2 linked regions of the Oryzias latipes genome follow. The protein of the gene in region 1 purifies or fractionates together with the protein of each later gene. This does not show direct contact. Links are inferred from orthologs where the notes say so. Each region holds a gene or a part of one and is shown in the gene's direction. Other genes may lie near its edges.

What was found.
Region 2: the proteins of kras (region 1) and hspd1 purify together in Homo sapiens (affinity purification with mass spectrometry; 3 studies listed by BioGRID and IntAct, with this or other methods). This does not show direct contact. The link is inferred for Oryzias latipes from reciprocal best matches to the Homo sapiens genes KRAS and HSPD1.

Annotation. Positions count from the first base shown.
Region 1 is NC_019864.2:21,729,606-21,732,393, forward strand, and holds the end of kras (GTPase KRas), read left to right. Parts: intron 1-687; coding exon 688-807; 3' UTR 808-812; intron 813-2,043; downstream 2,044-2,788. UniProt on the Homo sapiens protein: Ras proteins bind GDP/GTP and possess intrinsic GTPase activity. Plays an important role in the regulation of cell proliferation.
Region 2 is NC_019879.2:154,337-158,561, forward strand, and holds the start of hspd1 (60 kDa heat shock protein, mitochondrial), read left to right. Parts: upstream 1-1,413; 5' UTR 1,414-1,525; intron 1,526-3,114; 5' UTR 3,115-3,116; coding exon 3,117-3,290; intron 3,291-3,390; coding exon 3,391-3,726; intron 3,727-3,801; coding exon 3,802-3,897; intron 3,898-4,111; coding exon 4,112-4,205; intron 4,206-4,225. UniProt on the Homo sapiens protein: Chaperonin implicated in mitochondrial protein import and macromolecular assembly. Together with Hsp10, facilitates the correct folding of imported proteins.

The DNA of each region.
Region 1 (2,788 bases):
AATAGAATAAAGTTGTCTTTGTTGTGAGTTCATGTCAGTTCTTTATGGTATCTCTAAAACTATAAGGCCCTTCATATCAATCGTTTGATTTATTTTTGACAGCATACTTCTACTTTTGTGTGAAAAGGCAAATCCCACAGAGCTGTGGATTTTTTTTTCCCCATATTTTTTTGCCTCTAAATCAACCGATATGAACAGAGCTACACGGTTATTGCTGAGAGGAGCATCAGCCCTGCATTGCTGTTATTTATTTAGTATTATTGTTTAAATAAATTGTGTTGATTTATTTGAGTTCTCAGGACAAATGTCCATACTTTTCAACAGTTTTGGAATACAAGAAGAAATCCAATTTCCATAGTCCCTTTTACTTCAGTCATTATTTTGCTTAAGAACAGCTCTGCAGTCTCCTCTGCAAAAGCTCCAGGAATAGAAAATAGTTAGTTAATTAGGTTTTATATATTTCATTTTTTTACGTTTTATGGGGAGGAAACTAGACTCATTTCCAAGCCTGCAGAAGCTGCTGCTCAGTTTTCATCCAATCAAACTCTTTGAGTTTTTAAGAGTTTGGAGAGAAGACAAATCCGGCATTTCAGGAGTATCCCCATGTTTATCTTAAAATTTCTGACACCATGAAGAATGTGCTCCTACATTCCTCGCCATTGAGGAGAGTTGTGTCTTATACCGCAGAGAGTGGAAGATGCCTTTTACACTCTGGTACGGGAGATCAGGCAGTACCGGCTCAGTAAGCTCAGCAAGGAAGAAAAGACTCCACGCTGTGTCAACCTTAAAAAGTGTGTTGTGATGTGAGAGGGGTAAGTGTACGCAGCCGCGCACCCATCAGCTCTGTGTGTTGTTGGGGGGAACGGCGGACGAGGGATGGAGGAAGACACTGAGCCAAAGCTGGTGCTTCATGTGGTGTCAAAGCTAACCTGCTGGCTTTTATTGGGACTGTGGTGAGGTTCTAACACGAGCCTGACGTGTTTTGATTTCTTCTATTTTCAGTCTCCATGTGTTGTGGTGGATTATTGTCTAAGGTCATTTTCACACTGGGTTCATCCATCAAGTTTGGGGAAGTTTGATTTGCGCAGCTGGTGTGCTTCTGCATGGATGTCTGAACTCTTTTTCATGGGTTTCTTTTGCCTTATCCCTTCCCCATGGAGGAGCATTTGTCAGTCCTTGTTTCAGCAGTAAAACGACCTCCTAAAGGACTCCTGGCCTAAAAAAGGAATCGATCCAATCAAGTGTTTGGTCACGTTTTTACCAGATTCAGGGAAAACTACCAGTGTGAAAATATCCTTCTGTGCTGAAAGAAACTTGTGTACATGGTTTTGGGTTGCTAAGCCATCTTGGGCGGCTGTAGGTTCTTTTAAAAAAAAAAAAAAATTTAATGGTGAATGTGGGACTAAATCATGCTGAAATATTCATGTCTTTAAAAAAAATAAAAAAGCAAAAAAACAGCAAAAATTCTGACCACAAAGGCTGTGTGTGTTTTGCCTATACGAATCTCTCCATGTCTGTTCTGCATTCTCTGGTTGTCTTCACAACATAAAGTGTCCCAAGGCTCTTTACTCAACAGCTTTTTGCAGATTATTGTCGCATTTCTTGAACTACACAAACTGTTGGAGCTCTCAGACAATTGCGTCAGTGTGGCATCAACAGGCACGAGCTGTATTATAGCACAAAGCCTTTTCTTCACCCCAGCGCGAGAATAAAAGGCTCGTCTAATGTCTCCAGTCTGAAGAAATTCCCACTTAAAAAAAAAAAAAAAAAGCGGTAGCACTGAAAAAAAATGGTTTGAAAGTATTTTTTCTGTTTAAAAAAAAATAAAATTGTCTGTTTACTTTATTCTAAGATGAAAGATATGTCATTGCTTAGACTAATCTACCATGTTTTAGCCACTTGAATTTGTGCAACTGGTTAAAACATCATTTCAGATCCTTAATGTCTTGGTTAAATGTGCATTTTTAAATGACCTGTAACTTTCCAACTCTAACTTTGTACATTTATTTGCTTGTTTTTTTTTTTTTTTGCCTTATTTCCCAGGGCGTGGATGATGCCTTTTATACATTAGTCAGAGAAATCCGGAAGCATAAGGAGAAGATGAGCAAGGAGGGCAAAAAGAAGAAAAAGAAGTCCAAGACAAAGTGTATACTCATGTGAATAAATGCCCCTTTTCAAAACAGAAAAAACAACTTAATAATAAGCAGTTTAAGTAATACATTTTTGTACATTACACTAAATTATTAGCCTCCATTTCATTAAATACTAAACCCGACCTAAATTTTCCTGTTCTTTTTTTCTGGAAAACCAGTAAGCTCTCAGTTTAGTGCCAGTTGCTGAGATGGGTTAGCCCAACAGTTTGAGCTTGATTTCTTTGAGGTGACGGTGTATTTTTTTATTTTTGATTTTTTTACCTAATCATGGAACTGATGTCATCCATCACACCTGACAACACTGTTATCAGCATTAACTCCCCTTTGCTGGAAAAGCTGCAGCTCTTTTCAAGCAGAGGATGCCAAAGAATGAACCCTAGACAAAACTGAAAAAGGGTCATCGCCCCACAGGATGAGGTCCAAAACATTCTGCCACCATGTCCATCCCCTCGCCTTTAAATAGGACTTAGTTTTGTCACTGATAATTATGCATGCAAACTCCTACTCTTTTCCAAGTGTTTAACACCTTAGCTATTATGTTAGCTATTAATAAATTTGTCATTGCTTTGTACTGTGTGGGTAGAATCTTTTTTTATTTTTTATGCCTACATCAGAGGACATTTTTCTTCCTGCAT
Region 2 (4,225 bases), on another chromosome or scaffold:
AGCAGGCAGGCCGAGGACACCCCCCCCCCCAGATCCTGAGCAAACAGCCTCTCCGGCTCATTCCAGTCTCCACAGGCTCCACCCATGCTGCCCGACCCAAACACGGAGGAGCCGGCTCATCAACCGTCCCGCCCCCACAGCAGAACTGCATGAAGACGCAATGAAACCTTCAAACCCGAGTCTGAATCCGACCTACGTCAGAGGGAAACTCAGAGAGAAGAGGTCCGACTTTAAGACACCCCCCGACCAGACTAAAACTGACCCGAACCGAGAGGAGAACCGGGCCGAACCACCCAAAAACCACAGCAGGCATCCACGGCATCCAAACCCGACAGCAGGTGGCGCCCTGGAGCAGCACCTGGACCCCAGGAAGAGGTCCCACAGGCCGAGGACCCTCCAGAGCAGGGGCCCCAAATCCAGGCCTGGAGGGCCGGTGTCCTACATGTTCTAACCAACCTGCCGCTCAAGCTCCTTATTGGCTAAACACACCTGACCAGGTGACCAGCAGGACACGTGCACGCACATCCGTGTACACGCACTACTGTCCTTAAGATATTCACGGTGTTGATCCCGCAGTCTGAAAAAAGAAGCACGTGGGCTGCTGTGGTCTTTGACTCGCTTCTAACCCGATCCACTCCAGGCTAACCCGATGACGCGGTTCAGCAGCTGGTCGGTGTCTTATGGAAGTGTCCTTGAGCAAGGCACGCCGCGCCGAACGCCGTCCCATAAGCTGAATGGGGCGCAGTGCACGGAGCTGGTTTAACGGAACCGGCGGATAGCACACCGGACGCGTGACCTTGCGCGTGGTGGTCATCATCGTTAGCCCAATCACTACCCCCCCCCCCCCCCCCCCGCGCGCTAACAGAGACAGACGTTAAATGCTGTAAACAACCAGAAATCCCATCATTTTCTCTCTCCTCACCATTTTTGAGCGCTTGCGCAGAGCTGCACGTCTTCACTGAGAGAGCTTCGGACCGTCTGCACTTTGTCTCCACGTGAGGGAAGCCTCCAGATCGCGCATGCGCAGTAACGAGGCGCTGACAGAAAGCTCCAGAACAGCGGGGCTGCAGGCAGACCCGTACCTACAGTTCCGGTCTATCTAGGCCGCATTTGTCATTGAAACGGTGATTTCGTTTCAAAGTCACTCTCTACGGGCTCGCGCAATGTTGCACAATGTGACCTTTGACCTCTTTTTTTTCCTCCAATGGGGTACGGAAAATTCTGGAATCGTAGCCCAGGAACCAGCATAAGTGTGCGTTGCTGCGTTTCTCTGTTAGTTGTAACAAAGTTCATGTGAGAATAAATGATCAGAACATTCTGCGCAGGTATGAATAAACGTCTCCATGAAGATTAAAGACGGGGATAACAACTTGAACGTAAAAGAGAAGTTTTATTGAAGTAGTTATGCGTCATACAGAGTTCTGGGCGGGGCCGTACATAACCCGGATGTGATTCCCCACGTGCGGTATTCTCCGTTAGATCACTCGTGCAGCGCGTGCGGCAGATCGCAGCGGTTCCCTGTCAGGTAAGAACCGACCGTCCGAACCCGCAGCAGGGATCCGTCTCTGCGCGCGCGGCACTTTGTCCTGTCGGTGCGTGGAGAACCGAACAGAACCGAGCTCGGGTTTGTCTGAACAGCCGGTTCTGGCGTATGCGGACCGGTTCGTCCTGATGATTCCGGGACCGCGGCAGGGACGTGTCAAATACTCAGTTACCCCCGTGTAATCCCGTTACTCTGGAGCGGCTGAGGGAATCCGTCCAGGGAGCCGGCACGAGCTCTAACGTTTGACCTTGTGACGTACGACCGGAGGAGCTCACGTGGGGAACCGGGGGCTGTGAGCAGACTGCGGGGCATGTGGGGCTTTAATAACCCCTCAGACTGGTTCTCACCAGGCGTTACCCGGTAGGACCAGGTTCTAGTGCCCCCAGGAGGGGTTAAGAATCCTTTATTCATGAAAAGCTTCATTTGAATGAAATAAGCTGCAATTATTATTCCGAAAACTGTAACAGCCGCTGTTGTTCTGGAAACTAAAGTTTATCTTTTGGTATTTCGGTCATTTTAAAAGGCGTGTTTGAGGAAATGGTAGCAGATCTGTCACCGTAGGAATGAATGAGAGGCAGCTTGGAGGGTCCCATCAGTTATACTCCACCAATCAGAAGTTCGGGCCCGAGGCCGTGTCCTTGACTCCGCCCCCTTACCTCCTCCCGTCTGGACGCATGGAAGCTGCGGGAATGTCGGGCTGGGTTCTGGATGCTCCATTGGAGCTGATGATGGTGGAGCGTTTCTGGCTTTAACCTGACCGTCTACAGCATGTGTCAACCTCAAGGCCCGGGGGCCAAATGTGGCCCTCCGTGTCATTTTATGTGGCCCACGAGAACATAAAGGTGTTTAATTTCTTGGAATAAAAAATAAACATTGGTGTGTATTTATTCATATCTGGGGGGAATTGGATTTAAATGTTGGATTGGTCATCTATACATCAGGACTTAAACACTGTCCACATAACCTAACCTGACAGAATCAAATGTAAAAGGATTTGTGTTAGAATAACAAGCAAACATATGTTTTCTATGCAGCTGGAATTGTCAATTTAAAAAGTTATAATAAATAAATAATGAGTTATTTATCATTAAGGAGTAGTTGCATTTATTTTCATTACATTTAGTTACATGTATAAGTTACATCTGGCCCTTTGAGGACAGACACTATGCTGATGTGGCCCTCAGTGAAAATGAGTGTGACCCGCTTGTTACAGTTTGAAATGCTGCTGAACCAAGATCAGGCCGACTGAGGAGAAACAAGTCAAAGTCAGCTTTGTTGTCAAATATGCTGCAGACACAAGACAGACATGCAGCACAGATGAAGTTACTTTCCTCTCCCCCCACAATTTAAGCAGGATGTTCTGAACTTGGTCACAAATTCCCAGTTTCAGATGATGTTTCTGGTAAAAATTAACTGCTTGCTTGTGCTCAGTCTGCATCTTAAGGATGCTTAGATGCTGCGTGTCACGTGGGTTTGCTTAAGTTCCCGCTCACTGTAATTCCACTGGTGACCACCGGGCGGTACTGCTGGTCCTGTAGGATCCTCAATGGCTTCACTGCTTTTCTCCACAGAGATGTTTCGTTTAGCGACAGTCATGAGGCAGGTGAGGCCCGTGAGCCGGGCGCTGGCCCCTCATCTCACACGGGCCTACGCCAAGGACGTGAAGTTCGGGGCGGACGCTCGGGCGCTCATGCTGCAGGGGGTGGACCTGTTGGCGGATGCTGTGGCCGTCACCATGGGCCCAAAGGTAACAAACCCGCTGACGGGTGGATTAGGTTTGGAAACAGAACAGGAAAGGTGTGAAAGTGCTCCAGTCGAATGTTTTAAGCATCGTCTTCCCGGTCCAGGGACGCACTGTCATCATCGAGCAGAGCTGGGGCAGCCCCAAGGTCACCAAGGACGGCGTGACGGTGGCCAAGAGCATCGATCTGAAGGACAAGTACAAGAACATCGGTGCCAGGCTGGTGCAGGATGTGGCAAACAACACCAACGAGGAGGCTGGCGATGGCACCACCACCGCCACGGTGCTGGCCAGAGCCATCGCCAAGGAGGGCTTCGACAACATCAGCAAAGGTGCAAACCCTGTGGAGATCCGCCGCGGCGTCATGATGGCGGTGGAGGCGGTCATCGGCGAGCTGCAGAGACTCTCCAAGCCCGTCACCACCCCAGAGGAGATCGCACAGGTCTGGGAAGGGCATCCGGTTGTCCTGACGCCGTCTCCACACGGTCACCCTCACTCATCACGCGTGTCGTTTCAGGTCGCAACCATCTCAGCCAATGGAGACACGGAGATCGGAAACATCATCTCCAACGCAATGAAGAAAGTGGGCCGCAAAGGAGTCATCACCGTGAAGGTGAGGGGGAGGGGCTGCGAGGAGTCCACCCACCGGAGTGGAGAACATCCTCCGGTTCTGGATGACCGTTATGTGGCAAATGATGGCAGCACGTTCTGCGTCCATACATGGGGGGTTGGACCAAAGCCTCTGAGAGGACTTCCTGTGTCCTCATTGTCCAACCTTTGACGGCGTCTAGAAGCTTTCTGGTTAACATTCATTCCTTCTGCCGCAGGACGGGAAAACGCTGCAGGACGAGCTGGAGATCATCGAGGGCATGAAGTTTGACCGCGGTTACATCTCTCCCTACTTCATCAACACCGCCAAAGGTAAGGCTCCTCCCCCCAGC